Saccharomyces cerevisiae S288C: one gene and its partners. Changing the gene in region 1 together with any one later gene gives a genetic interaction. Each region holds a gene or a part of one and is shown in the gene's direction. Other genes may lie near its edges. The genes, in order: ERD2, ALO1, GAS3 and CHP1.

Evidence for each region.
Region 2: mutations in ERD2 (region 1) and ALO1 together harm fitness less than expected from each alone (positive genetic interaction), as found in Saccharomyces cerevisiae (one large-scale study listed by BioGRID).
Region 3: mutations in ERD2 (region 1) and GAS3 together harm fitness less than expected from each alone (positive genetic interaction), as found in Saccharomyces cerevisiae (one large-scale study listed by BioGRID).
Region 4: mutations in ERD2 (region 1) and CHP1 together harm fitness more than expected from each alone (negative genetic interaction), as found in Saccharomyces cerevisiae (one large-scale study listed by BioGRID).

Annotation. Positions count from the first base shown.
Region 1 is NC_001134.8:139,760-147,497, reverse strand, and holds ERD2 (Erd2p), read left to right. Parts: upstream 1-4,629; coding exon 4,630-4,651; intron 4,652-4,748; coding exon 4,749-5,386; downstream 5,387-7,738. Other genes in the region: APL3 (Apl3p), read right to left, coding at 1-289; mitochondrial 54S ribosomal protein uL16m MRPL16, read right to left, coding at 613-1,311; CTP synthase URA7, read left to right, coding at 1,770-3,509; MIN6 (Min6p), read right to left, coding at 3,926-4,105; PRE7 (proteasome core particle subunit beta 6), read right to left, coding at 5,526-6,251; FUI1 (uridine permease), read left to right, coding at 7,238-7,738. UniProt on the Saccharomyces cerevisiae protein: Required for the retention of luminal endoplasmic reticulum proteins. Determines the specificity of the luminal ER protein retention system. Also required for normal vesicular traffic through the Golgi.
Region 2 is NC_001145.3:92,558-101,536, reverse strand, and holds ALO1 (D-arabinono-1,4-lactone oxidase), read left to right. Parts: upstream 1-4,165; coding exon 4,166-5,746; downstream 5,747-8,979. Other genes in the region: YML083C (uncharacterized protein), read left to right, coding at 487-1,743; alpha-tubulin TUB1, read left to right, coding at 2,137-2,161, 2,278-3,596; AIM33 (cytochrome-b5 reductase), read left to right, coding at 6,168-7,106; SCF ubiquitin ligase complex subunit UFO1, read right to left, coding at 7,296-8,979. UniProt on the Saccharomyces cerevisiae protein: Can oxidize L-gulono-1,4-lactone as well as D-arabinono-1,4-lactone and L-galactono-1,4-lactone.
Region 3 is NC_001145.3:695,009-702,596, forward strand, and holds GAS3 (putative 1,3-beta-glucanosyltransferase), read left to right. Parts: upstream 1-1,787; coding exon 1,788-3,362; downstream 3,363-7,588. Other genes in the region: CEF1 (Cef1p), read left to right, coding at 1-145; SCJ1 (Scj1p), read left to right, coding at 342-1,475; serine/threonine protein kinase SKY1, read right to left, coding at 3,803-6,031; GUA1 (GMP synthase (glutamine-hydrolyzing)), read left to right, coding at 6,782-7,588. UniProt on the Saccharomyces cerevisiae protein: Splits internally a 1,3-beta-glucan molecule and transfers the newly generated reducing end (the donor) to the non-reducing end of another 1,3-beta-glucan molecule (the acceptor) forming a 1,3-beta linkage, resulting in the elongation of 1,3-beta-glucan chains in the cell wall.
Region 4 is NC_001148.4:122,295-129,838, forward strand, and holds CHP1 (ribosome-associated Tef1p biogenesis chaperone CHP1), read left to right. Parts: upstream 1-3,711; coding exon 3,712-4,152; downstream 4,153-7,544. Other genes in the region: NEW1 (New1p), read left to right, coding at 1-3,063; MMT2 (Mmt2p), read right to left, coding at 4,340-5,794; GRE1 (Gre1p), read right to left, coding at 6,338-6,844.

The DNA of each region.
Region 1 (7,738 bases):
ACCCGAATAAAATTTCATTTAGTTTTGTCGTATTAGAAGTAATATATATATAGGCTAGCTTGGCAACGTACTTCTTTCTTTGATAGCCACCTAATCTGTCGTGATTGCCTTGTTTTTTCTTTGCAGCATCGAAATGCTGTTTAATTTTGACAATTTCAGATTGTATTCTCTTTTCCTGCTCTTGTGCTTGTTGTGCAGAACGAAGATCTGCAATGAATAACTGTAGGCCCTTGATGGTACTGTTATTATTAGAAACACTTGAGTTTATAAGTGTTTTTTTGCGATCCATGGCTTATAAGATTAGTACTATAATAAAGGTTGCGAAATTGGAAACTCGATTGACTAGCAAATTCCAACTGTAACGTTCCTAGTGCTTCTTTGACCCTCAAATATTTCTCAGTGTTTATACCTCAGCTGGATCAAACAAGTGTTTTTTCACGTCGTCATGTGTTTCTTCAGCGCTCACTCCGGGGAAAAACTCCTATTCTTCCGCAGAGAGTATACAGTGCATACTAGAATTAATAAACTCATAGCCATGGCTAGATTACTTGATTGTGAATATCGATATTTTTCAATAGTTATATACATGTATACATGGTGTGTTCAATCCGTTCAACGTCCTCTGAAGAGTTTGTACTGTGGTTCTTGAGACTTTAAAATATTCAAATACTTCTTTGATGGCTTCTTTGCATTTTCATCGTAAAAATTCTTCACTGGGTCGTCTTTAGGATTTTTGAAACTATGTAATCCAACTCTAACCAGAGAATCCAAGGATACAAATTCATATACCCCAGGTAACTTGGTGCCTGCTTTTCTGAAGGCTTCCCGTGCGACTTTTTCATGCAAATCATCACCATTTATTTCGAAAAGGATCTTCCCTGTGGGTACCCTCACCATCCAGTGGTCAAACCCACCTTTACCTTTACCCATTCTTGTTTCGTTACCCTTGATACATACAGCAACGTTTGTACACAAACGCCTCCACAAATGACCATTGTTTAAAGGCCTGACATATCTCATAATTGCGTTATCTGCTTCCTTCAGCTGTTGCGCGGATATCCTAATACCTTCGCTTTTCAGTCGTAATCCGTACTTACCAAATTGCAAAGTGGATCCCTTTATTGAACCACCTGTACGAACTGGCACTCTACCTTTTTGCTTTTTCTGTACGATTTTGAAACGTGGGGCATATTCATGCTTGAATCTCCTAGCAATAGTGGTGTTATTTAAAAAAGCATTGGGGGAACTTTCTTTTAAAGTTAGCCCTCCCATCTTTATGGATAAATTCATTCTTGTTAAATAGGGGAACATGTTGCAAAATTCTATTCCTCTGTACCTCTGGTGAAAGGTAATCAACTTCCCGGCAATATGTACGCTCTACAAGTGGACTGTTAATTGGTAATAATTTCTTCCAAAGAAGTCTTCTTGTTATTTGAGCACCAATATGATATTATTATTTCCACCAGCATTCTTTCGTAATTAGTGATTCAACTGGATACAAAGCCTAGGGTTCTGTTCTTTGACCCTAAGTTTTAGAGTTAGGTTTCTCGTTATTGGTGATAACAAATTTTTTTTTTTTTTTTTTTTTTTTTTTTTTTCAAAATTTTTCACAGCTCATCTCATCGAGAGGAAAAGCATAGAATAAAATTTAGTTAAATGTTAAGTATTTTACAGTATTTGCCATTTTTCTGCCATTCTAAGGTCGAAAAAGTTTCAGGCAGTTTCTCAGTGAATTGGTCAATAGAACAAAAGAAACTTATAGACAGAAAATGAAGTACGTTGTTGTTTCAGGTGGTGTCATTTCGGGTATCGGTAAAGGTGTTCTTGCATCTTCAACTGGTATGCTAATGAAAACCCTCGGTTTAAAGGTTACGTCAATTAAAATTGACCCTTATATGAACATTGATGCAGGTACTATGTCTCCTTTGGAACATGGTGAATGTTTCGTGCTTGACGACGGTGGTGAAACAGATTTGGACTTGGGTAACTACGAGAGATACCTTGGAGTTACTTTGACTAAAGATCATAACATTACTACTGGTAAAATATACTCGCACGTTATTGCTAAGGAAAGAAAAGGTGACTATTTAGGCAAAACCGTGCAAATTGTCCCTCATTTGACCAACGCTATCCAAGATTGGATTGAGCGCGTGGCCAAAATTCCTGTAGATGACACCGGTATGGAACCAGATGTTTGTATCATTGAATTGGGTGGGACAGTTGGTGACATTGAAAGTGCTCCTTTTGTGGAGGCACTAAGACAATTCCAATTTAAAGTTGGAAAGGAAAATTTTGCCTTGATACACGTTTCTCTAGTTCCTGTCATCCACGGTGAACAAAAAACTAAGCCAACTCAAGCTGCCATCAAAGGTTTGAGGTCTCTTGGTTTAGTTCCAGATATGATCGCCTGTAGATGTAGTGAAACTTTGGATAAACCAACAATCGATAAGATTGCCATGTTTTGTCATGTGGGGCCTGAACAGGTGGTTAACGTTCACGATGTTAATTCTACTTATCACGTCCCATTGTTGCTACTGGAACAAAAGATGATTGATTACTTACACGCCAGATTAAAGTTAGATGAAATATCACTTACAGAAGAAGAAAAACAAAGAGGCCTGGAATTATTGTCTAAATGGAAGGCCACAACAGGTAACTTCGATGAATCCATGGAAACAGTGAAGATTGCTTTGGTTGGGAAATACACCAACTTGAAAGATTCTTATCTATCAGTGATAAAAGCATTGGAACATTCATCCATGAAGTGTCGTCGTAAGTTAGACATTAAATGGGTGGAAGCTACTGATTTGGAACCTGAAGCACAAGAAAGCAACAAAACTAAATTTCATGAAGCATGGAACATGGTCAGTACCGCAGACGGTATCTTAATCCCCGGTGGTTTTGGTGTTAGAGGTACTGAAGGTATGGTTTTGGCTGCTAGATGGGCTCGTGAAAATCACATTCCATTCTTAGGGGTTTGCCTGGGTTTACAAATTGCCACCATTGAATTTACACGTAGTGTGTTGGGAAGAAAAGACAGTCATTCGGCAGAATTTTATCCAGACATTGATGAAAAAAATCACGTTGTCGTTTTCATGCCTGAAATTGACAAGGAAACCATGGGGGGCTCAATGAGATTAGGTTTGAGACCAACATTTTTCCAAAATGAAACTGAATGGAGTCAAATCAAGAAGTTATACGGTGACGTCTCCGAAGTCCATGAAAGACACCGTCACCGTTACGAAATCAATCCAAAGATGGTTGATGAATTGGAAAACAACGGGTTGATCTTTGTAGGTAAGGACGACACTGGAAAGCGTTGTGAGATTTTGGAATTAAAGAATCACCCATACTATATTGCTACTCAATATCACCCAGAATACACATCAAAGGTCTTAGATCCATCCAAACCATTTTTGGGTTTAGTTGCTGCTTCCGCTGGTATCCTTCAAGATGTCATTGAAGGTAAGTACGATCTTGAGGCCGGCGAAAACAAATTCAACTTTTAAATCAAAATTTTAGAATTAAAAGTCTACTGCATTAACAAAGATAAATTTCTAATTTTTTTATGTATATTATATTTTTTGGAAGAGAAAATATTTGTAGTGCTTCTCTACACTGTTTTTTTTTTTTCGTTCATGTTGTCTTTCCTCTCCTGAATATATTTAATTTAATAAATCTATCTTATCTGACATATAGAAGCTGTTTCGATAGAGTTTTCGACTGGCCAACAGTTGTTACTGACTGGATAAAAATTTACGATTTTTCCTCCAATCTTGGCTTTCAAAATGAGAAATAAGAGTCTTGAAATTCAAAGAATGTATCTATGTATGAATATAGAATATGCTCAAATATTTAGTTTTGTATAAGGAAGTTCTAAATAATTTTCCATGGCGTGCTTTTACCAAAGTACTGAACAGGGAGATTATTTATCATTTTTTTTCTTACTCTTCGAGTTGAAGTCGATTGTAGGTGATGACATGAACATTAAATAAAATGTACTTGAACAAATCAGACCAGCAAACACCCACATCGCAATGGTACTGGGTTTTCTCGTTATTCTGTGGAAGAATTCAATTACCGGATTATTGTTAAAAAAGCCCATTAGAAGTATCCTAACGATTGATTAAAGTAAATTGTTATTCACGCTACTATCGCAATCGTCCAACTGAACCTTATTCTTTATTGTATATAATCTCTGCCGAGAAATTCTTATACTTATGTATCTGGGAATTCACCAGGTTAGAATACCTTCCCCTCCTCAATTTCTAATTTTTTTTTCTACCCTTATTTTTCTCTCTTGCTTCATCGCTCTCAAAGCTAAAAGCTAATACAGCAAACAAAAGTGTTATTAGGAATTCAATTGAGTCGTGAAAGAAAAATAATATTCGTCTTACTTGAGGACTCACTTTGGTCAATTGAGATTAAAGTGTAGTCTGCACCACTGAATTCCTCGTTTTCCTTTAAAGATCCGGGATGGCTTATCTGCGGTACCCGGACTGAAAACGACGTTTTAGCTAAATATTGAACACGTTAAAAATAAGTTCAAATTTCGAGGCAGATGAATTTGCTGAGGGCACTTGTTCAAGAGTGAGATATACGCGCAAGTTGAGGCATAATCAGTAAGCAATGAATCCGTTTAGAATCTTAGGTATGTTACTATTTGGAGTTTCATGAGGCTTTTCCCGCCGTAGATCGAACCCAATCTTACTAACAGAGAAAGGGCTTTTTCCCGACCATCAAGACAGGTGATTTATCACATCTAACCAGTATACTGATCCTGATTCATAATATCAAGACCACAAGGTACATTGAAGGTATTTCTTTCAAGACCCAAACGTTGTACGCTTTGGTTTTCATAACACGATACTTGGATCTCTTGACTTTTCACTGGGTATCCCTATACAATGCTCTAATGAAAATATTTTTCATTGTATCTACCGCTTACATTGTAGTGCTATTACAAGGGTCTAAAAGAACCAACACCATTGCGTATAATGAAATGCTTATGCATGATACCTTTAAGATCCAGCATTTACTAATTGGGAGTGCTCTAATGAGTGTTTTTTTCCATCACAAGTTCACTTTTCTTGAATTAGCATGGAGTTTTTCTGTATGGTTGGAGAGTGTGGCTATTCTACCTCAATTGTACATGCTATCTAAGGGTGGGAAGACTAGAAGTCTAACTGTTCATTATATTTTTGCCATGGGATTATACAGAGCATTGTATATTCCTAACTGGATTTGGAGGTACAGCACGGAAGATAAAAAATTGGACAAGATTGCCTTCTTCGCGGGACTTTTGCAAACTCTGTTGTACTCTGATTTCTTTTACATTTACTACACTAAAGTCATCAGAGGAAAGGGTTTCAAACTGCCAAAATAAAAAAAAAACCTGTTTTAAATAGTGTTCGCAGCAATATATACAAATTTCAATATATCAATGCTATACCAAAAGAAAAAAAAAATACATAAAATTGATGTTGATATTGGTCTATTTCTTTTTATACTATGATATGTATGCATTAATCTCTTTTTAGCTCATAAAATTCTTTCCTTACACCATCCTTGGTGACAATAAGGATTTCCAGCCCATCACCCACTTGTATATGTCTTTCTGTAGCAGAAGTGAACGAGTCTCTCACCAGTTTGATGACTTCTTCCACGGACAAGTATTTCAAAGGCTTTTTGACTTTACCGTTTGTACCTGGCTCATATTGATTTTTGAAATTAACCTGATTGTCCAAAAATGGCATGATCAATGATGCCGCAGCACCACCTGCTCTACACTGTTCTCTTTCGTAGGAGCCAACTGGGTCGAACGAATAGACAGCGCCCTTACCATCTTCGTCAAGACCCGCAATGATCGTATGAACGTAGTAAGGGAAAAACCTCTTCCCGTACAGAAGATGTTGAATGTTCCTTGCTGCAGAGTTTATAGATAGTTTTTTGTCGTTGTGGTCGAAATGGTACCATTTTACACTATTTTTGAATCTTTTTACTAAAGCGTCGCCGTCTGCTGCAAATCCATTCGCCGACATGACTATGTTATCACCACAATCAAAAACCTTGGGTTCATAACGAGAATTAATTGAGTAATCGGTGATATTTCTTGTATCGCCTGCTAACACTGCGAAATCTTCACCTGCAATGCCCAGGATTGTACCACCATTATCACCGTAAGGATTGAATTGATGTTCAATGGGTGTATTTGACGCCTCCGAAGAGTATTCTGATGCAATAGTGGCCATATTTTGTTTAACTTTATAGTTCAATAGTCTTGGCTACTCTCTTTCCAACTCAGTTCACCTTGTATTATACCGCTTGTTTTTGCCACCCTTTGAGTTTCCTCGATCCTTTAAGTTGGAAAAGATAAAAACAATTATCGCTCCGTACGAACACCAAATCTCTGCGACGCAGAGACGGCAATACAAAATCAGAAAAAAAAAACAATTTATTGCCTATGCTTCACTAGTCACAGGCTCTACGAAACATTGCTATCGCCTCACTGCCTTTACATCACTTAAGCAAGAAGTTTTAAATATTACGGCAATTCCTTTGCAGCAATACCTTTACTTTATTTCGAGAGAAAATAGATCGTAAAATGCCTACTCCAAGCTTTTAAATCAAGACTCAACCAAGCCCCCACACTTATCTTTAGAGACTAATGCCCTAACTCTTTCGACTGAACGGCTTAGAAGTCTCATGTCCTAGCTAGTTTGTCCTTGCGATGGGACACAAACGGCGCTGCCTCTCCTGCGGGCGATCAGAAAGAAGAAAAAGAAATGTGATTGAGCCATGCCACAAAGCGGTATGTGCCATTAATTTCTTTTTTTCTCCCCTTTCGCCTTTGAGTTTCTCCGCGGCGTTCACTGTGGTTGATGCTCGGGATTTGCCGGTTTCGTCCTTATCGCGCCATCTTTGCCATTAAAGGATGCTGCAATAAAACTTGGCGGTTCTCGCTACTGAAACTATTGTGTCAGCCTGGACAACACAGGGACATGTCGTATTTTTGAAAATTTTTGATCAATTCTCCAACGGAAAAGTTTTTCATTTCCTCTCTTGCTCAATTACTCGATGACATGCTATCCTATCTTTTATATAACAGTAGTATTGCTTCGACCTTCTTGTAAAATTTAAAACATAGTATTGGACAGCTTTGCTTTACTTTGCAGCACATTGCGGAAATAAAAGGCGGTAACTAGTCCTCTCATTCATTAATTCTATATAAGAGAAAATGCCGGTATCTGATTCTGGATTCGATAATTCTTCAAAAACAATGAAGGACGACACTATACCGACGGAGGATTACGAAGAAATCACGAAAGAGTCCGAGATGGGTGATGCGACTAAAATTACTTCTAAGATTGATGCTAATGTCATTGAAAAAAAAGATACCGATTCAGAAAACAATATAACCATTGCTCAGGATGACGAAAAGGTGTCTTGGCTGCAAAGAGTTGTCGAGTTTTTTGAGGTTAAGAATGACTCTACCGATTTGGCCGATCATAAGCCCGAAAATCCAATTAGGACATTTAAAGATTTACAGGAGTCCCTCCGTTCGACGTACTTGTACAACACAGATCTGCGGCCCGTGGAGGCAAAAAGAAGAACGTGGACATGGAAGCAGTACATTTTCTTTTGGATTTCTGGGTCCTTTAACGTCAATACATGGCAAATCTCAGCCACTGGGCTACAGTTAGGGCTTAACTGGTGGCAGACTTGGATCTGTATTTGG
Region 2 (8,979 bases), on another chromosome or scaffold:
TCGTGACCTGTGCCTGCGTTATGCGAGAGCAAAAGGGCCCTTAACGAGCCGGCACCTAAACGAAAATTTCAAGGGTTTTTTTGGCGGTGCCTAATAAGGAACGCGCAGAACAATAGACCCTGCCGGTAAACGATGGCCTTGCAGTCGTATACTGTTAAAACTGTTGAGTGGGTGAATGGCAGGGCCTAACTGCTTGCCTAGGAGTACCGCAGGAACGGTACGAATCGAGTGGAGACAGCAAACCTTGACGTGTGCTTGCTTTTAAACGGGTCGGAGAATTTACTCTTGAGCATATACGTGTGGGCATATGCATACAAATATATAAATACATTCGGGTGTATACGTAAATATATAAATATATAAAGTAACATATGTATATAAAGACGAAAGATTGAACGCCATCGTGGAGAGGGTTTTCGTATGAAGGTGCCTTAAGTCTTGTGTAGAAGTAGTTCTTTAGTTAAGATAGAACCTGGTAAAGACTCAATGGACTATTTACATGTATATAACAACAACCAGGCGCACGTTCCCAGAACACCTCCAGGCAGGCAGTGCCTATCGCCCGTTCTGCCCCCAATCATATTGGCGTTAGATCAACAACATTCGCTGACATTTGGGTACTCCAGCCCCAGGTGCTTGCCAACACCCATATTGCCTTCTATGAGCACAAATACGCCCGTCCATTGGTCACAACAGGTTGTCACTATCCCTGTCGCTGTACGAAATCATGCCGCAATGATGCCTATTATCACACCTATGACCTCCCCAAGACCTCAGTTTGAAGCAACGGCTCCCTCACCCCCTTTGGCCCCGGTCGCCATAAAGCTGCCAGATTTGAAACTACCACCGTCGCCTGTGCCCAGCACAGTAGAGGACAGAGTTTCACATCCTATCCTGCCCAAAATTGTGATCGGGAATGGCGGCGGCCGTGATGTTGAGCGAGATAGTACCGAGGAATTAATTAGGAAGATTCCAAACTACATTGGTTGTGCAAAAACAAAGGCACAATTGAGCAAAGTTAGGTCTGGTAAACAACTAATTGCATGCGCACAGGAATATCACCATCCAGTAAACAAGGACGAGATCGAAAATATCAACAACATTCTAAACTTCAGGGACTTTATTTTCAAGCATCCAAAATCCTCCTTCGAGTTCCTATGTACCCTGTCGTTTGAGCAGTTCGTTAGAGTATATTCATTCATTAGTTTCATCTACAGGACAAAGAAAATCAATAAGAACAAGTACGAACTCGTTTGTGAGATGAATGTTCACGAGCAACTCAGCAATAAGCGTATACAAAGAACAAGGACTCCTGAAAAGTACAAAATACATTTGATCTGCGAGTCAAAACTCATACTGACCTTCAACCACTGTACGAAGACAGTAAAATTTGAGTCTATCAATGGCGGGCACTGCCATCCGATTTCAGCCAACCACATTATCAAGCCCTCCCTCTTCCTTACCCACTGCATTAATAAATGCTACCAGACCGTGTCAGACCCTACCGATTTGAAATTGGCATTGAGAGACGCCTTAGAAGCCCTTGATCATGAAAGGATAGGATTGTCTTTCTTAAAGAGGAGACATTTCAAGTGCTCACACCAAGCATCATCACTCTCGAATGCCAGCGCCACATTGAAGAAACAAGAAGATCATGACACATTTGGTGTACATACAGGAATAATTCATACGGCAAATTTCTTCATGTTTAATGCATCTAGCGATATATTCCAGAGGAACTAACATATATAAATATCTGTATCCTTCTTTAAGAAAACACAATTGCATACTTTTTCCATTATAACTGACTGTTTCAGATCCTGCAATAGAAAGTATTTTTTAAGTAATGAAATAGTGCTTCCATTGATAGTAAGTGAGTAATAAGACGATCGGAAACTATTAATATAAGTATAGTTTACATATATATATATATATATGTGCCAGACGATAATATCACCGTAGTTTCCGGCCGGGTTATGCCACGCGAAAACGCCTCGAGCCAAGGGAAAAACTAAACTACAAAACAAAACAAAACAAAACAAAAACATCTACTATATCGTTTTACCCAATTCAGTATATCCGTCTACAACAGTTCTCGCCACCCAAGATCTGTAAACTTACAACTGCAAACAAACAATGAGAGAAGTTATTAGTATTAATGGTATGTTCGATTTGCCCGTCCAGGCTAGATCTTTTTTTTGTTAGTTCATTTTGGCGTTTCATCTTTCATTACTAACTTCAACGCAAAATTTTTTTTTTTTTGATTTCTCTTTACAGTCGGTCAAGCTGGTTGTCAGATTGGTAATGCCTGTTGGGAATTATATTCCCTTGAGCACGGTATTAAGCCGGATGGACATCTAGAAGATGGCCTTTCAAAGCCGAAGGGAGGAGAAGAGGGTTTCTCCACGTTTTTCCATGAAACCGGCTACGGTAAGTTCGTTCCAAGGGCTATTTACGTGGATTTAGAGCCCAACGTTATTGACGAAGTCCGTAACGGTCCTTACAAGGACTTGTTCCATCCAGAACAGTTGATCAGTGGTAAGGAGGACGCGGCTAATAATTATGCAAGAGGCCATTACACCGTTGGTAGAGAAATTTTGGGCGATGTTCTGGATAGGATTAGAAAACTGGCAGACCAATGTGATGGGTTACAAGGGTTCTTGTTTACCCATTCTCTTGGTGGTGGTACTGGTTCCGGTCTAGGGTCCTTACTGTTGGAAGAACTATCCGCTGAATACGGTAAGAAATCCAAGCTGGAATTTGCCGTATACCCTGCTCCACAAGTGTCTACTTCTGTGGTTGAGCCTTACAACACAGTTTTAACTACACATACTACATTGGAACATGCAGATTGTACTTTCATGGTCGATAATGAGGCTATTTACGACATGTGCAAAAGAAACTTGGATATCCCAAGACCAAGCTTTGCAAACTTAAACAACCTAATTGCTCAAGTGGTATCATCTGTTACAGCATCATTGAGATTCGACGGTTCATTAAATGTAGATTTGAACGAATTTCAAACCAATTTGGTTCCATATCCAAGAATTCATTTCCCCTTAGTTTCATATTCTCCAGTCTTATCCAAATCAAAGGCATTCCATGAGTCCAACTCTGTGTCAGAAATTACAAACGCTTGTTTTGAACCTGGTAACCAGATGGTCAAGTGTGATCCAAGAGATGGTAAATACATGGCTACTTGTCTGTTATACAGGGGTGATGTGGTAACAAGAGATGTTCAAAGAGCTGTCGAGCAGGTGAAAAACAAGAAGACCGTCCAATTGGTTGATTGGTGTCCAACTGGTTTCAAGATCGGTATTTGCTACGAACCTCCAACTGCCACACCAAACTCACAATTGGCCACTGTGGATAGGGCCGTCTGTATGTTGTCAAATACCACATCCATTGCTGAGGCTTGGAAGAGAATCGATAGAAAATTCGATTTAATGTATGCCAAACGTGCTTTCGTCCACTGGTATGTCGGTGAAGGTATGGAAGAAGGTGAATTCACCGAAGCTAGAGAAGATTTGGCTGCTTTAGAAAGAGATTACATCGAAGTGGGTGCCGACTCATACGCTGAGGAAGAGGAATTTTAAGGTTCACTCTCGCCCCCAACCTCCTTATCCTTTCTATATTTCAAGTATATTGTAAAAAAAAAAATTCCCCCTACTGTTATATCTCTTTGGTGATATCTTATCTATAATCTACTTATTATATTTCTCTAATATCTATGTACAAAAAATAAAAAAAAAAACCATTCTCCTTCTCTAACCTGCATTTGATGAAAGCTTAGTAAGTCTCATCGTAGTTGATGGGCCAAAGACATTTGTACTTGTTTCATCAGATTCTTACATCACCCATTTCCATGATTATTTCACGGATTTCATTAGTAATTGCATTTTTGTATCCCTAGTTCCTTTTCTCCCGCCTTGCCGTCGAATTGAAAAAAAAAATGGAAATGAGGACATCTTCCATTGATATCCAGGACAAAGCAAGAGTAGAAGTAACTATTAGCAAGGAGAATTCCAAAAATAGTGAACTTCAAGGTAAGCAGATCTATAGTTTCAATATCTGATTTTCTGCTTTTCAAAACTTAAAATTCATTAGAAGGTAAAACAAGAACCCGTAAAATTAAAGTTACCGATATTATCAGGTTTTTCACCCCATGTCTACTATCCCATTTAGAAAGAACTATGTGTTCAAAAACTGGGCCGGAATTTATTCTGCAAAACCAGAACGTTACTTCCAACCAAGTTCAATTGATGAGGTTGTCGAGTTAGTAAAGAGTGCCAGGCTAGCTGAAAAAAGCTTAGTTACTGTTGGTTCGGGCCATTCTCCTAGTAACATGTGCGTTACTGATGAATGGCTTGTTAACTTAGACAGATTGGACAAAGTACAAAAGTTTGTTGAATATCCTGAGTTACATTATGCCGATGTCACAGTTGATGCCGGTATGAGGCTTTACCAATTGAATGAATTTTTGGGTGCGAAAGGTTACTCTATCCAAAATTTAGGCTCTATCTCAGAACAAAGTGTTGCTGGCATAATCTCTACTGGTAGTCATGGTTCCTCACCTTATCACGGTTTGATTTCTTCTCAATACGTAAACTTGACTATTGTTAATGGTAAGGGCGAATTGAAGTTCTTGGATGCTGAAAACGATCCAGAAGTCTTTAAAGCTGCTTTACTTTCAGTTGGAAAAATTGGTATCATTGTCTCTGCTACTATCAGGGTTGTTCCCGGCTTCAATATTAAATCCACTCAAGAAGTGATTACTTTTGAAAACCTTTTGAAGCAATGGGATACCCTATGGACTTCATCTGAATTTATCAGAGTTTGGTGGTACCCTTATACTAGAAAATGTGTTCTATGGAGGGGTAACAAAACTACAGATGCCCAAAATGGTCCAGCCAAGTCATGGTGGGGTACCAAGCTGGGTAGATTTTTCTACGAAACTCTATTATGGATCTCTACCAAAATCTATGCGCCATTAACCCCATTTGTGGAAAAGTTCGTTTTCAACAGGCAATACGGGAAATTGGAGAAGAGCTCTACTGGTGATGTTAATGTTACCGATTCTATCAGCGGATTTAATATGGACTGTTTGTTTTCACAATTTGTTGATGAATGGGGGTGCCCTATGGATAATGGTTTGGAAGTCTTACGTTCATTGGATCATTCTATTGCGCAGGCTGCCATAAACAAAGAATTTTATGTCCACGTGCCTATGGAAGTCCGTTGCTCAAATACTACATTACCTTCTGAACCCTTGGATACTAGCAAGAGAACAAACACCAGTCCCGGTCCCGTTTATGGCAATGTGTGCCGCCCATTCCTGGATAACACACCATCCCATTGCAGATTTGCTCCGTTGGAAAATGTTACCAACAGTCAGTTGACGTTGTACATAAATGCTACCATTTATAGGCCGTTTGGCTGTAATACTCCAATTCATAAATGGTTTACCCTTTTTGAAAATACTATGATGGTAGCGGGAGGTAAGCCACATTGGGCCAAGAACTTCCTAGGCTCAACCACTCTAGCTGCTGGACCAGTGAAAAAGGATACTGATTACGATGACTTTGAAATGAGGGGGATGGCATTGAAGGTTGAAGAATGGTATGGCGAGGATTTGAAAAAGTTCCGGAAAATAAGAAAGGAGCAAGATCCCGATAATGTATTCTTGGCAAACAAACAGTGGGCTATCATAAATGGTATTATAGATCCTAGTGAGTTGTCCGACTAGTCTCTTTTTGTCTCAATAATCTCTATATTTTACTAAAAAAGAATATATATATATATATATATAGCAGTGTGATGACTGTTCATGTACATTCTAATAACTATTCCTAGCTGCCTATCAAAGACTTTTTTTTTGAATTAGAGCTTTTTAGTAATCATGGGACCCTTTTTTCTTTTCATTATCCTTACTATAGTTTTTTTTTTTTGGAAAAGCCGAACGCGGTAATGATTGGTCGTATAAGCAAAAACGAAACATCGGCATGGCGTAACGTAGATCCATCTACAGGGAAGTTTTTAGAAATCAGATAGAAATGTATTTTGAGTGCTGTATATATTGCAGTACTTTTTTTCTCTCTAGGATTTAAGTATGTTTAGTATTAACTCATATCACATTTTTTCTTTGTAAAAAGCAACCATTCGCAACAATGTCGATAGTAGAGACATGCATATCTTTTGTTTCGACAAATCCGTTTTATCCATTTTGTACTGGATTGCTTCTGAATTGTGTGGTTACACCTCTTTACTTTTGGAAAACGCAAAATGGTAGAATCGTGGTCGTTTCATTGCTGCAATTCGTAGTACTTTATGCCACAGCGTTTATTTCGATTGGAACTGATAAATCTCTTTACAGAAATAAATGGGTCGCGCTACCGCTATCCAAGAAGACCCGCATTTCTCGTAATACTAGTCTGTACTGCTTCAAGTTAAAGTACCCATTTGAAAGATTGCATATTCCCATGGGATACCACCTGGCAGTAAGGGTTACAATAAATGGTGAGCGATTAGTGAGGTACTATACGCCAGTAAATGTTCCTAATACGGAGGGTCACTTGGAATTAGTAGTCAAGACGTATAAACATGGTGTCGTTTCTAAGTATTTTGATAAATTAAAAATTCGCCAGTATGTTGAATTTAAAGGGCCGTTAGGTGAGCTGGAATATGATCAGGACACCGCAACAGAGTTGGGTATAATCGCAGGGGGGTCTGGTATAACCCCTGTATTGCAAGTGCTGCAAGAAATCATACCCTCTCCAGAAGACCTAACACACATTTCTTTGATATACGCAAACGAAACAGAGGATGACATTCTCATGAAATCGCAACTAGACCACATGGCTAAGGAGTACCCGCATTTTAAAGTTCATTATGTAATTCATAAGCCAAACGGTAAATGGAACGGTGATGTTGGGTACGTAACTCTAGAGGAAATGAAAAGATACCTACCTAAACAAGCGGAGGACCATCGTTTATTGATTTGCGGACCACCTAAAATGAATGAAATGGTTTTGAATTATGCAAAGGAGTTGGGGTGGAGTAATGGGTTTCACAAAGGTAATGGAACCGATAAAGTTTTTGTTTTTTAATCAACTGTTTACGATTGATGATTTTTCATGTAAATAAGCATTAATTATATTTAGATATATATTCGTATTTTATTAATAATTAGGAGGAATAAAGTCCGACATTTTTTTCAAAAAAAAAAAAATAATATTTCACAACGAAAAATCTATAAATAAAATATTTAACATATGCTCTTCCAAATGTACATACTTTCAATTGATTTCACTCAATGACAACGCAATGGCCAATTGTAAGTCTTCATCAACATTATTACTAGCATCAACGCCAACAGAACTACCGATAGTGTTCTCAGTTGAGGTTCGTTCGGATGACTCTGCTGCACCATATGTAGCAAAATTATCGTCGCTCAAGGGCCCATTTCGTCGACCTGTAGTATGATTTCTAAGATGTCTTCTCCTTTCGTCCTCCACTCTTGATTGTCTGATGGCTCTGAGAAACTCTTCATCATCTTCATCTATCTCATCATTCGTATTATTACCATGATTCGCAGAGCTATTCGTTTGCGTCTCATATATCAGTTGAGATTCCTCCAGCGCCCTTCTTAACTGCTCATCTTCATCATCTCCGACAGGCTCCCCCGCTTCAGCTTGATTCCGTGCTTGCGCCTCCTGTGATTCTAAGAGTGCAATTCTCAACTGAATGTCGTTTTCTTCATCGGTGTCGCCTGAAAGTTCAAGGTCTCCACCATACGCATCGATCAATCTTGATATTTCTGACTGTCTTTTTCTTCTAAGGTCTTCATCTTCATCATAATATTGCAGCTCCGTGTTCAAAGTTTCATTCCACTTATTGCTTACTGTGTTTTTACCTTTAGTGGAATGGTGATGTTTCTTTGAATCACTTGAAACAAACTTTAAATAATTCAAAACGTTACCGCTTCCCATAATGATTTTATCCTGCGATACCTTCAAAAATTCGGGAAACTTCTCGGTTTTCAACACTGTCTTTATTAACTCGCCTGTCATCGCGTTCAATATTTGAAGAACATTTGGCAATGCTACCACAACTATTAAATTTGTCACCTGCGATACGTATACCTGCTCATCAAAACTTATCTTACATTGAACTTTTAAGCCTGACGAAGAAAGATCTCTTATATTGATAATGTATAAAGTGTTCTGTGTCGTCAAAAGACTGATATAGCAGCCGTCATCACCAGCAAATTGCCAGTTTTGTTCCCTTTGAGAAGTTTTTTCATCTATTTCAACTGCGCATATTTGTTCAGGCATCTCCAACTTTCTCAAATTGCCGAAGTTACCATTGGGATTGACCGATATTGTATAAACGTTATTCAGGTCAGCAAGTACCAAAGTCATGGAACCGAAATCCATCTTGAAAAACCGTACCCTCATAGGCTGTTCGTCCAGATCCTTAGGAATATCAATACTGTGCAATTCCTGCATTTGATGGATAATGTACAGCTTTTCATCATCCATAATTAAGGTCCAATCTTTAAAAAAAGCCAGTTTCCAAATTACCCTATTAGAAACCTTCCACATCTTAACAAGCTTATTTTCGCACCACCATATAATTTCACCGTTTTCAGAGCCACTAACAGACCAGTCCTCTCTTGACGTGTCCCAGGATTCTGAATTACAAATGGCAGTAACGCCTGCACTATGCCTTCCCGTAAATTCCATCACGGGCGTTAAGTACGATTTGTTACTTAGCAGTTTTCCAAACACTCTGCCGTCAAACCTACCAAACACTGCAGCATTAATATTGAAGTCCATGGTAGAACAACCTTGTGGTGTTGTACATGGAATATAAATCAATTTCTTAAATTTCTTCTGCCTTTTGTGATTTTGTAACTGTAAAATTGTAATGGTACCATCATTATAAGCTGCAACTCGTGGATAATCAAACACTATGCGT
Region 3 (7,588 bases), on another chromosome or scaffold:
CCTCTGCCATCACAGCCTGCCCGCTTTGATTGAAGGGCAACGCAAGTACTACGCTGATTACTACGCCTACCGACAAGAGATACGATCGCTTGAGGGTCGTAGAAAGCGTCTTCAAGCCATGCTAAATTCTTCTTCTTCCATATAGCATTAGTATAGCATTAATATAACTTTTATGAACTAGGACATAGAGGACTTGTGACAACGCATTACCCGGAGTTAGAACGTTTTCTTGCCAAGTTGGCCACATCGGCAAACCAGCGATGGTAATAAGATGTAGTACTGACAAAACATGGTGGATAGGCCAGAAGAGCGTGCATTGGCTGGCGAAAAGATCGAGGACAATGATTCCAAAATTATATATACATTTGATACTATCTTTATTGTTGTTGCCGCTAATTTTGGCGCAGGATTATTATGCAATACTAGAGATAGACAAAGATGCCACTGAGAAGGAAATCAAATCAGCGTACAGACAATTGTCTAAGAAGTACCATCCGGATAAAAATGCTGGGAGCGAAGAAGCCCATCAAAAATTCATTGAAGTCGGCGAGGCATACGATGTATTGAGCGATCCTGAAAAGAAAAAGATTTATGACCAGTTTGGTGCAGATGCTGTAAAGAATGGCGGTGGCGGTGGCGGTCCAGGAGGCCCTGGCGCAGGTGGATTCCACGATCCGTTTGACATATTCGAACGGATGTTTCAAGGAGGTCATGGAGGTCCTGGCGGCGGATTTGGCCAGAGACAGAGGCAGCGTGGTCCAATGATCAAGGTCCAGGAAAAACTATCTTTAAAGCAGTTTTATTCCGGGTCCTCGATAGAATTTACTTTAAACCTAAACGATGAATGTGATGCATGCCATGGTAGTGGCTCTGCAGATGGTAAGCTGGCCCAATGTCCCGATTGTCAAGGTCGTGGGGTTATAATACAAGTGCTGCGCATGGGTATTATGACGCAGCAGATTCAACAGATGTGTGGTAGGTGTGGTGGTACGGGACAAATTATCAAAAATGAATGCAAAACATGTCACGGCAAAAAAGTTACCAAAAAGAACAAGTTCTTCCACGTTGACGTTCCACCAGGCGCACCAAGAAACTACATGGACACAAGAGTCGGCGAGGCTGAAAAAGGGCCTGACTTTGACGCCGGTGACTTGGTCATAGAATTCAAGGAAAAGGATACTGAGAACATGGGTTACAGAAGAAGAGGCGACAATCTGTACAGAACAGAAGTTCTTTCTGCTGCGGAAGCGCTATACGGCGGATGGCAAAGAACGATAGAATTCCTTGATGAGAACAAGCCCGTTAAGTTATCTAGACCCGCTCATGTAGTTGTCTCCAATGGCGAAGTTGAAGTCGTGAAGGGATTCGGCATGCCCAAGGGTAGCAAGGGTTACGGTGATTTGTACATAGACTACGTCGTTGTCATGCCAAAGACTTTCAAATCTGGGCAAAATATGCTCAAAGATGAGTTGTAGACAGATAATCCTACGTACGCACACATGCATATATAGATAGACAACTGGTCTTCTGCATCCGGTAATAGGCATTGGCTTTAATACTAATAAAAGCAAGAAAAAAGCGACACCAGTAAATTTCAGACATCTTCGAGAATTTTTTTCGCGCGCTTTCTATCAAAAAAAAATGAAAAATAAATAAATAAACAAAGGAAAATAAACAACAACATATACTGTTCTTATATAACATAGAACATCTATTGTTTCCGTGTTTTGCTCTTTCCTGCTTTTGTTCGATCAAAGATCACAGGTCTCAAAGTCGTTTAGCTAGCGATGCAACTATCTAAAAGTATACTACTGGCAGCATTAGCTGCTACACCATCTCTGGTGAATGCCATGCTCCCCATCCATATCAAGAATTATAGGTTCATTAAGCCATCCTCTGCCACAAATAGCGAATCCGATAACGAAGTTTTTTTTGTGAAAGGTGTCGATTATCAGCCTGGTGGGTCGTCTGGTTACGATGCTGACTCTGATACAGATATTCTTTCTGACCCTGAAGTGTGTGCCAGAGACGCCTACGCTTTCCAACAACTTGGTGTCAACACAGTGAGAATTTACTCCCTGAACCCTGACCTAAATCATGACAAGTGCATGACTATCTTCAACAATGCTGGTATCTACGCCATTTTGGATGTTAATAGTGGTAATTACGGGGAGAGTTTGAACCGTGCTGACCCATCTGGAACATATGACTCTTTGTATTTGTCAAGAGTCTTCAAATTTATTGACGCTTTCAAGAACTACCCTAACGTGCTAGGATTCTTTTCTGGCAACGAAGTCATAAATGATCAAAGCGACTATGCAAAAATTGATCCTCCATACATCCGCGCTGTTCAAAGAGATATGAAACAGTATATTTCAAAACATGCGAACAGAAGCATCCCAGTCGGATATTCTGCTGCTGACAATACTGATTTGAGGTTAGCAACCTTCAAGTACTTGCAGTGTAATTCGTTGGATGGAAACAAAGTCAATGATGATTTGGACATATCTAAATCTGATTTCTTTGGCCTAAATACTTATGAATGGTGCTCTGGCACTTCTAGTTGGGAATCTTCTGGCTATGACAAGTTAAACTCAACTTTCGAAGATGCTGTTATTCCGTTGATATTTTCTGAGTATGGTTGCAACAAAAATACACCAAGAACTTTTGACGAAGTCTCTGAGGGTTTGTATGGTGGTTTAAAGAACGTCTTCTCTGGTGGGTTGGTATACGAATACACTGAAGAAGCTAATAATTACGGTTTGGTTAAGCTTGATGATAGCGGTTCTTTAACTTATAAGGATGATTTTGTTAATTTAGAATCACAATTGAAGAACGTTTCATTGCCAACAACAAAAGAAAGCGAAATATCTTCTGACTCTATCTACAAGTGCGATAACAGTGCCATCACCAATATTTATTCTGGCTTTGGAACGAACAATTTCACTTTGCCTTCTCAACCAGCAGAAATTGCCAATATGATTGAATACGGTGTTAATGGCACCAACACCGGTAAGATATTGACTGATTATGCTGTTCCAACTACTTTTAACTATACAATTAAAAACAATAAAGATGATACCATTTCAGCTACTATTTCATACGACAAAGCTAACTCACTGAACGAACTAGACGTCACAGCCACAACGGTCGCAAAGTCAGCTTCCACATCACAATCATCTTCTCGCTCCTTAACTTCAAGCACCAGTCCATCTTCAAGCACTGGCTCATCTTCAAGCACCGGTTCATCTTCAGCTTCAAGCAGCTCCAAAAGTAAAGGCGTCGGAAATATTGTTAATGTTTCCTTTAGTCAGTCTGGATACCTTGCATTATTTGCAGGTCTGATTTCTGCTCTACTCTGAGCTGCTCATGTATTTTTTTGAAACATCCATGGACTTGTTTTCGTTTTCAACCGTTTTATTTTTTTGTGTTCTTTTATCTTAACATATGTAAAACAATTTATATGTTTTTAAATAGTAAACTTTTCATCAAAAACGCTTAGGTATCACACCCATCATCCTTCACCAGGACAACCATTGGGTGCAAAAAATAAAATCAAAAAATGTCGAGTATGGATTCAAAAACCGCTAAAGATAAAAGAAAGGAGAATCAGCATAATCTTTTGTTGTTACTTCAGAATATTATACTAGGTGTTACAAATTTACTTTGGTAAAAAAAAAAAAAAAAATTGCAAAAAAACTACTGAAAAATAAACAACTGAGCAGAGAACTAAAGTATGCAAAAAAGAGGTTAAACAGAAAAAAAAGTAAAAGGCAAGGGCAAAATAAAGGTATAAAGGTAATCAATGTCTTTTATGATCGCGGACTTCTTCAAACCATCCGGGGATATCGGAACCACTCCCGTACAACTCTCTATCAGGTACCCGAATCTCTTCCATACCCAAGGTATCCTTGAGCCATGGATGGTTAACCAAGCCACCTGCATCAGCTCTTTTCCTTGGGTCTAGCTGTAACATAGGCGACAAAAAATCAGATATTTCCTTGGCTTCGTCCTTAGAAAACTTATATTTTTCAGTTAAAACATCTTCTAAGGGCCAAAATTTCAATTTCGAGATATTTCTTAAAAGCCCTCTTGAATTGAAGAAAGTTCTTGTATATTTGCCGTTCCTCAAAAGGTATGATGGTAATTCTCCCAATAACTCGATGATTTGTGCAATATGGTCATCATCCTTAGTGTAGGAATGACCTTCGTCCGGTTCGAAAAGAAAATCTCCGGTAATCAATTCAAAAATTAGACAAGCAGTAGACCATATATCTGCACCACAACCCCAAGGGGCGCCTAGTAACACCTCTGGTGATCTGTATTCTCTTGTCTGTATAGAATTCGTGTAATGTTCGTCATACCAACAAGCATTACCTAAATCAGCAATCTTGATCTGAATCAAATTTTCTGGGGAGTTGATATCGGTACTGACGTTTGAATTTGAATCCATAGTATTAGAAATATATGGACCATTTGTATCGGAGCTTTGTGATATATTGGAAATATCAAATGTAGATAAAGAGTCTGCCAGCTGCTCTTCATGCAAAGGTGTGTTCATTATGTCCTCGTTATTATTGTTGTTACTGTTGTTATTGTTGTTATTTTTATTTTTACTATTATCATTATTGTTGTTATCATTACTGTCTTCATTTATGAACATCCTGGTCACAGAATGTGGTACTGAATTTAAGAAACTATTGTTGCTATTCTTAATGCCTATGCCATTATTAATACTGTTATTATTGATGGAAGATGGAATGTTCCTATTCCCAGATACGGAGGAAAAGCTATTGTGACTACTACCACAAAAGTGCGCCCTCATTTCAAAGAAATTTGATGAACTAATTGGGGAAGGTAATGGTTGCGACCCTGTGATAATTGTATGACGTCTAGGTCTTCTAAAGCATCTTTTTGACAAGTCCTTCTCTATAGAACGAGATTTGGAATTTGAGCTTGAGCCGCAGGGCATACTTGTTTGGCATTCTGCCCATTTCTCATCACTGCTATCGTTCGCGGTAATATCAGAAGACCGCGAAACGTGCCTCTGCAACCTTTTTGCCTCTCTCTTCTGTTTATCCAGTGCCTCGACCATTTGAACGATACCCTCAACATCTCCAATCTCCATCAACACGTTTTCTGGTTTAATATCTGTGTGTATAATACCACACCGCCTATGCATGTAATCAAGACCAAGCAGTAACTGCTTCGATATTTGCTTGACATAAATCAATGGAATGCCCCTATGTTCATACTTCTTTATCAAAGCCAGTAAGTTCTCGCCGAGGACTTCAAATACCATAACCACATGGACGCCATTGGGGCCCTTATGGTTGAAATGATCTAGCAATTTCAAAATATGATTAGCCCCCATGGAATCCTCCTTTGTATTATCGGCGTCATTCACTCTTTGCAAAAGCTTAATTTCGTCTTCAGCAGCTTCTGTGTAAACTTTGTCGCCCCGAACAATCTTCATAGCAACGTGAGTGTTGTTTACCATATCCTTTGCCAACCAAACGGTGGAGAAGTGGCCCCATCCCAGCTTTCTTACTAAAATGTAGCGTGCATCCTTATAGGGCTCGCCCTTAAAGGCAGGGTGGTACCCACCCGGCCTGTAATCTTTCAAAGACTCTTCGTTCCTTTCGTCACATGATGAGATAGAGGAATCTGAATCCAAATCTGAGTCTGATTGTGGCCCCGAATCCGATTGGATGGACACATGCGATTCAACGCCGCTATCTGGTTTTTTCTTAATGCTCTTTGTAGAAAAATCTTCTGTCTTCGAGGAAGTATCCTCTTGTACAGTACCGTTGGCACTAGAGGATGACTTGGAAGTCTGCAAGGCCAAAGACAGTTTAGACTTCGTTGGAGCAGGCGCCTTCTTCATCATGTTATAATCCCTTTGAAAGAAATTCTTCTTCGCTTCCTGCGAGCTTGTTGCTTCCTCACATGAAATGCTCGCATCCGTACTAGTGTCAGCCAAATGAGCGCTTTTAGTCACAAACCCAGGATAGTTAATTGATGAACCCATTAATGTCTACACTTCTTCTTTACTCTATCTCTTCAACCTCAAAAGGGGGTGTCTATTTATACCAAAAAACACAATTATTTCTCAGCGCCAGGTGATCTAACAATTTTGAATCAGTTTTCCAATCTCTATTAACTTGCCAGCTACAAATAGATCCCTCTATATCCTGTGACTTCTCTATAGCTCTTTCATAGCCCACACTCATTGTTTATTCTCTTTCAAATAAATAACGACGATAAGATTTAGAAAAATAGAAAAAGAAATTAGAAAAAAATCCGGAAATAATATAGGCTCGTCCGTAACGATTTAATATCACGTGGATAGTGATATAATTATGAGGTGTTGCCAAATAGAACCTTTAATTATGTTTAACAGCGAAAAAACAAGGTTGTCAAGTAGCCGACTCATTTCTTCGTGACGTTGGTGACAGGAATATGCTTTCATCCTCTCGCTCCCCTACAATGGCTTCGGTTCCCGACATTTTGACTCTTTTCATGCCGTCATTTCTTTTTCTTGCTTGCAGGAAATGAAAATTTTTTTTTTCTTTGGCGATGAGCATCGAGAAAAAATATTTCTTTTTTTTATCATTTTTTCAGTTTCATTTTCATTTCACAGTTATAAAACATTAGTTGAGTTATAGTTTCGGTCACGGTAGTCTCTAATTAGCTTGCGTTCGTTGTAGTTTAACTTCCCTGGGTCATTTGGTAGGTAATATCTATATTCTAAAATAAACTAACGACATCAATATTCACAATGGCTGCCGGTGAACAAGTTTCTAACATGTTTGACACTATCTTAGTGTTAGACTTTGGTTCTCAATACTCTCATTTGATTACCAGAAGATTAAGAGAGTTTAACATCTATGCTGAGATGTTGCCATGCACTCAGAAGATCTCTGAGTTGGGCTGGACTCCAAAGGGTGTCATTCTTTCTGGTGGTCCATATTCCGTATACGCTGAAGACGCTCCACACGTAGACCATGCTATCTTTGATTTGAACGTTCCAATCCTGGGTATCTGTTACGGTATGCAAGAATTGGCTTGGATTAATGGTAAACAAGTTGGTCGTGGTGACAAGAGAGAGTACGGTCCTGCCACTTTGAAGGTGATTGACGATTCCAACTCTCTATTCAAAGGTATGAACGACTCTACTGTCTGGATGTCTCACGGTGATAAATTGCACGGCTTGCCAACTGGTTACAAGACCATTGCCACCTCCGATAACTCCCCATACTGTGGTATTGTCCACGAAACTAAGCCAATCTATGGTATTCAATTCCACCCAGAAGTTACACATTCTACCCAAGGTAAGACTCTTTTGAAAAACTTCGCCGTTGATTTGTGTCACGCTAAGCAAAACTGGACTATGGAAAACTTTATCGACACTGAAATAAACAGAATCAGAAAACTGGTCGGTCCAACTGCTGAAGTCATTGGTGCTGTTTCCGGTGGTGTTGATTCTACTGTTGCATCCAAATTGATGACAGAAGCCATCGGTGATAGATTCCATGCCATCTTGGTCGATAACGGTGTTTTGAGATTAAATGAAGCTGCTAACGTT
Region 4 (7,544 bases), on another chromosome or scaffold:
GAGAAAATTGAAGAGTGGAAAATCGTCGATGTTCTATCTAAATTCATCAAACCTAAGAATCCATCATTAGTTAGAGAATCTGCCATGCTAATAATTTCCAACATTGCTCAATTTTTCAGTGGAAAGCCACCACAGGAAGCATACTTGCTACCATTCTTCAATGTCGCACTTGACTGTATTTCAGATAAAGAGAATACAGTCAAACGTGCCGCGCAACATGCCATTGATTCTTTGTTGAATTGCTTTCCAATGGAGGCTTTAACCTGTTTTGTACTGCCTACGATTTTGGATTACTTATCATCTGGTGCCAAATGGCAAGCTAAAATGGCCGCTCTAAGCGTTGTAGATAGAATAAGAGAAGATTCGGCGAACGATTTATTGGAACTTACTTTCAAAGATGCAGTTCCAGTTTTAACCGATGTAGCAACTGATTTCAAACCTGAATTGGCCAAACAAGGTTACAAAACTTTATTGGACTACGTTTCTATTTTGGATAACTTAGATTTGTCTCCTCGTTATAAATTGATCGTGGACACCCTGCAAGATCCATCTAAGGTTCCTGAATCTGTAAAATCGTTATCCAGTGTTACATTTGTCGCTGAAGTTACGGAACCTTCACTATCTTTGTTAGTTCCTATTCTAAACAGATCTTTAAACCTATCGTCATCATCTCAAGAGCAATTAAGACAAACCGTTATTGTCGTGGAGAATTTGACAAGATTGGTGAATAATCGTAATGAAATTGAAAGCTTCATCCCTCTACTACTACCCGGTATCCAAAAGGTTGTTGATACTGCGTCCTTACCTGAAGTTCGTGAATTGGCTGAAAAGGCCCTTAACGTTCTAAAAGAAGATGACGAAGCTGATAAGGAAAACAAATTCTCAGGCAGACTGACTTTAGAAGAAGGTAGGGATTTCTTACTTGATCACCTCAAGGACATTAAAGCTGATGATTCCTGTTTTGTCAAGCCTTACATGAATGACGAAACTGTTATCAAGTATATGAGCAAGATTTTGACCGTGGATTCTAATGTGAACGACTGGAAAAGACTTGAAGATTTTTTGACCGCCGTTTTTGGTGGTTCAGATTCACAAAGAGAATTTGTCAAACAAGACTTTATCCATAACTTGAGAGCTTTATTCTACCAAGAAAAGGAAAGGGCAGATGAGGACGAAGGTATTGAGATTGTCAACACTGATTTCTCCTTAGCTTATGGTTCAAGAATGCTTTTGAACAAAACAAATCTTCGTCTCCTAAAGGGTCATCGTTACGGTTTGTGTGGTAGAAATGGTGCTGGTAAGTCTACTTTAATGAGAGCAATTGCTAATGGTCAATTGGATGGTTTTCCTGACAAGGATACATTACGCACCTGTTTCGTCGAACATAAATTGCAAGGTGAAGAAGGTGATTTAGACTTGGTTTCCTTCATTGCTTTAGATGAAGAACTGCAATCTACTTCTCGTGAGGAAATTGCAGCCGCTTTAGAATCTGTCGGTTTTGATGAAGAGAGAAGAGCACAAACTGTTGGATCTTTATCTGGTGGTTGGAAAATGAAGTTGGAATTGGCAAGAGCTATGTTACAAAAAGCTGATATTTTATTGCTGGATGAACCTACCAATCATTTAGATGTTTCGAACGTTAAATGGTTAGAAGAATACTTACTGGAACATACTGATATTACTTCATTGATTGTTTCGCATGACTCTGGTTTCTTAGATACAGTCTGTACTGACATCATCCATTATGAAAACAAGAAATTGGCTTACTACAAAGGTAACTTGGCAGCATTTGTTGAGCAGAAACCTGAAGCTAAATCTTACTATACCTTAACAGATTCTAATGCTCAAATGCGTTTCCCACCCCCAGGTATTTTAACAGGTGTTAAGTCTAACACTAGAGCCGTCGCTAAAATGACTGATGTAACTTTCTCTTATCCAGGTGCCCAAAAGCCTTCCTTAAGCCATGTCTCCTGTTCATTGTCTCTGTCTTCTCGTGTGGCTTGTTTAGGTCCTAACGGTGCTGGTAAATCCACTTTGATCAAGCTATTAACTGGTGAATTGGTTCCAAATGAAGGTAAAGTGGAAAAACATCCAAATTTACGTATTGGTTATATTGCTCAGCATGCATTGCAACACGTCAATGAACATAAGGAAAAGACGGCAAACCAATATTTGCAATGGCGTTATCAATTCGGTGACGACCGTGAAGTCTTATTGAAGGAATCCAGAAAAATATCCGAAGATGAAAAGGAAATGATGACAAAGGAAATCGACATTGATGACGGTAGAGGTAAGAGAGCCATTGAAGCTATTGTAGGTAGACAAAAGTTGAAAAAATCTTTCCAATATGAGGTCAAATGGAAATACTGGAAACCAAAATACAACTCCTGGGTTCCAAAAGATGTTTTGGTCGAGCATGGCTTTGAAAAATTGGTTCAAAAATTCGACGATCACGAAGCCTCCAGAGAAGGGTTGGGTTACCGTGAATTAATTCCTTCAGTTATCACCAAACATTTTGAAGACGTTGGTCTTGATTCTGAAATTGCTAACCATACTCCATTAGGTTCTTTATCTGGTGGTCAATTAGTTAAAGTCGTTATTGCCGGTGCTATGTGGAACAACCCTCATTTACTTGTTTTGGATGAACCTACCAACTATTTGGACAGAGACTCTCTTGGTGCTTTGGCCGTTGCTATTCGTGACTGGAGTGGTGGTGTCGTTATGATTTCGCATAATAACGAATTTGTTGGTGCTTTATGTCCTGAACAATGGATTGTGGAGAACGGTAAAATGGTTCAAAAGGGCTCTGCACAAGTTGACCAATCCAAATTCGAAGATGGTGGTAATGCTGATGCCGTTGGTCTAAAGGCCTCCAACTTGGCCAAGCCATCTGTAGATGACGATGATTCTCCAGCTAACATCAAGGTCAAGCAAAGAAAGAAGAGATTGACAAGAAATGAAAAGAAGCTGCAAGCCGAACGTCGTCGTCTACGTTACATTGAGTGGTTGTCATCGCCAAAAGGTACACCAAAACCAGTTGATACTGACGATGAAGAAGATTGAAAGCCTACTGGCTAGTGTTTTATCTTCGCTAACTTCGTTTGTTTCACTCCATCTTTTTTCTTTAATTCACTCCTCAAATGGAGTTTACTACGTTGATAGAATTTAGGACAAGCATATGACGCTCTCCTTCCTTTTTTGTTTTCTAGGTTAATTCATTTTTCATACAGAGTAGTTAATATTGGTTCTTTTCATATATGTACGGTACGCAGATTAATTATGTAAACTTAAACTTAAGGGATCCTTTTTGATGCTAACAATTGTCGATGTTGAACTACAAATTTATGTAAGAGGTCGTTGTTAAGGATTATTATTTTAAAAATACACGAAGATTGATTATTATTTCTTACATGAGGTTATGAATCGTGCTCCAAAAGTATACCAAAAATAACTCCTGAACTGCTAGGCACAGTTTGCGATAATTTAAAGGGGTTAAATACACTTTTACTACTGGCTTTCACCTTATAAATCCCTCATTAAACTAAAGATGAATGAACATTGTTGAAGAAATTGTCCGGGTAAGAGGTTGTACTAGGGAGTGATGAACATCCATAAATTCTTCGACTAGCAGAAGTAATGATAATTTTCACCCGTTAAAGCTACATCTGGTTAGATGGACTAGAAGAACCACGACGAAACAATCATATAACAATGTCTACTTTTAATGCAGAAACCGCTGATAACTTGGAAGATATCGAGAAACAATTCGCTGTTGTTGCTGTTGAACAAGCGGAAACATATTGGAAACTATTAACAAGTGTTCCCGGTTCCAAGTTACGTTTGACTAAGTTTGATGACGAAATATACGAGAATTTTATGGAGAGATTCCCAGAATACAAAGATGTTGAAAGGGTCAAAAAGTTTACGGAGGAAGAATTAAAAACAAAAGAAGCCAAGGAAAGATGGAGAAAGTTCTTCACAATTTTTGAGAAAAAAATCGAAGACTATAACTTTGGTACTTTGTTGAGGACAGACGCTTCAGCCGAGTATGGTCAATTTACTACTTGTTTTGTCGTGAGACTACAATTTTACGCTTTTGAAATTGCTAGAAATAAACACGGCTTGAACGATTGGATTGTCGGTCAGAAATGAACATGCATATATATTTGTGATTGATTATATAGAATACATTACTTTATACAAAGGAACAACACAAGGCATTCTTCCTTGTTCAACATATATATATATACATATATATATTAAGCTCAGTAAATTGTTGAAATGTGAAAGGCTGTACTTTTGCTCTTAACTTTTGAAAAAATTCATCATTGAGAATTCCCTAATGTTTATGGGTGTGAGTATCGGCAGAATCAGAATGAGTATGAGTATGATTTGTTGATTTAGTGTCATGAGAGTGCTCCAAATCACCTTTAGAGTCAGAGGTTACATCAACAAACTCGACGTCCACCTTCCCCACGTTTGGCACCTTCATACGTAAATCCTCTCTTATAGTCGAAATAGCGTTTTCCAAAAATCTTATCCCAACTTCCTGACCTGAATGTAATACTGGCACTTCCAAAGTTGTGGTGGCACGAAGATTAGGACCGGAAGCTAATATAGTAAGGTCTCTAACATGTAACGACTGTTTGAGATCTAAGTCTGTTTTCAAACTGCCAATGCTGTCTTTTATGACAGATTCGATTTCTAGATAACGCGGATCAGTAGGTGGTATAGATTGGTCAACTAACTCCTTCAGTGAGGATAAGATACCTTGTCCACCTGTTTTTATGATCAAACCTGACACTACAAGCCCACCTAAATTATCTAAGGATTGAATGTTGAAAAAATAACTAGATGTGATAGCGACCAACGCTACCAACGATGTCAAGGAGTCAACACGATGATGCCAGGCGTTTGCCATTAGTACATTAGAATTTGTTTGGATTGCAACTTTCTTTGTTGCCTGAAAAACCCATTCTTTAACCAAGATAGAACCCGCTGCTATCCATACAGCATTTACATTAGTTGCCTGTTGTGTTAGCGACTGAGAATGGGAATGCGTTTCACCAATTAAACCGGCCATCGATTCTAGAATGGCATGAGGAATGACAGGCCCCACAATAGCGCATAACGACGACCAACCGATAGATATACCAGCCATTGCTAAGATTGTGGATACTGCCAAAGATCCCACAGTTTCCACTTTACCATAGCCATATGGGTACTCCGAAGTTGGTTTACGAGACGCATATTGGACAGAAAACAGTGTTAAAAAATCAGATACCAAATCGCTAAGAGCATGTACGGAATCAGCAAGTAATGCTTGAGAATGAAAAGTGATTCCTCCTACAAATTTTCCTACTGCCATCCCCACATTTGATGCAAGTCCTATCCATGTTATTCTTACGCCAGGATTCTTCTTGATCTGCTGTACGTTCAGTGACAATAAAGGATTGTCATGCATATGTGTGTGGCTGTGACTATGAGTATGTTGCAACAACGACTTCACAGAGGAAGCCTTGCCTTCCTTCTTTCCTTCACTTTCATTCTGTCTGGAATTCGATCCATTCTGTGAAGACATTTTTGAAATGAGCTGTTCATTATAGCCCTCTTCTTGACCTTCTTTATTTAGCAGTTTCGAAGAATGCAGGCACCTTCTCGGGTTGGCTGAGATCATTGTACTGTACAGGCTTGATGTTCTTATGGCCCTCCCGGCAGCATGGTAACTAGTGTTGTTATAACCTGGCACAAAGGAACCGAATTGCTTGATAGAGTCAATACTTATCCGTAGCATATCTTTATTGCGTTTGCTTTTTTGAGAAAGTAATTGCTTACACGTTCTAGAATAAAAAAGTATGGTTGTAAGAACGCACTTGAAAAGGCACCAATCTGCTCGGGTTTTTACAACTAACACTAACCTAGATGAGAGGTAAAAAGAAATCGTAAAAAAAAGTTGTTGCCCAGCACAATAACGACACTTTACCCGCTAATTCCAGGAGGTTTGAGTTAGACAACGACCTTCCCACCCCGTTTTCCCATAATTCTATTGTTATACACCTGGATCTGGAGGTCCGTGAAACGGCATACCTCGACGAAAAAGGTCACTACTAATCAAATCAAACTGACATTAATAAAAACGTATAAACTGACAGCTGTAGATCTAAATAAACTAGATTAAACATATGAAATAGTTTGTAAAAAGTGGCATCATGACCAATAATAGGTCCAGATGAAGAAAAAAGAAAAAAGAAGACGAAATTAGGGTAAAATTTCTCACTTGCTGCTCAAGGGTGAGACCCGCACCTCAGGCATGTAATAGAAGCTTCGACCACCGCATCTACCAGACGCCTTGGTTCCCACTATCATCATCATATTCATCGTTTCCTGACCCAGACAGATCGCGTCTACCGCTGCCGATATTAGAGGATTGGTAGCGGTTACTTTGAGCACCTCTTGTACGACCTTGTTTTTGCTGTTGGCCCGAAGTCAAGAAGTCATCGTCTTCATCGTCGTCCAACTGACCTTGAGTGTTAGTTTCGCGGTAAGTTTGGGTATAAGTGCCACCACCAGTGCCGGCAGTGTAGTCAGTAGTTTGTTGCTGGAAGTCGTTACCGCCAAACTGCGTGTTACCGCCTAGATTAGACTGTGGCTGCTGGCGTTGAGGGAAATTCCCTTGGTTTTCTTCGCCGTAGGGATCGGCCTTGGATCCTTGATTCCTGAATTCCCTCTGTTGATGTTTTTCATGACGCTGTTGTCTAGTCTGGTCGTCATTGTCGTCTTCGTAACGTTCATCATGATCGTTGCCGTGCAACTTATCAGCAAACTTGTTTAATAGATTGGACATTTCTTAATTGTTATTCGTACTTAGCTTTTATGCGGTAGTGTTTGGCTCTGCTGCTAGTAGATATTAAGAGTTGAGGGTAGGTATGTATCCTTTTTTTGATGAAATAGTAATGTGCTTTTATAGTCCAAGAAATATTGACTGCTTCAAGGGAGCCTGATTAACAAGCACGTAACGGAGACCAAAAAAAGGATTTCGGTCTTTTCTAACCATTTCCCTTTACTCCCTTGTGCGTTATTTGTTTTGATTACTAGGCATGATGTATGGAGGAACTTGCGATCAAATGTCATAAAAGTGGAGGAGTGAAAAGAAATGACGAAGCCCAAAACGTGGTCCTAGAATTACCACATTTCCTTTTTCTAAAGGAAGCCAGACTATGCTTTACGCAAGAACTGTGGTTAAAGAGGGATATTCTGATGAACATAAATTCATACACATTCATGAGAAGCACGACAAGGATTGGTTAATTACTTACAACTAAGGCAAAACTGCCATTGACCTCATCTGTACCACCACATGCTGTGTAGTTATTTTCCCTTTGTGATCCCTAAAAAAGATGGGATCTACACACCTTACAAGAACATCCTCAAACCCATACCTGGAACCACTGAACATATTCTTCCCGTGAAAGGCTCTACGGCGAAACTACTGTAATGTCACAGGAAATTAAGGATGCTTCGACTATGGAACGGACCATACATGG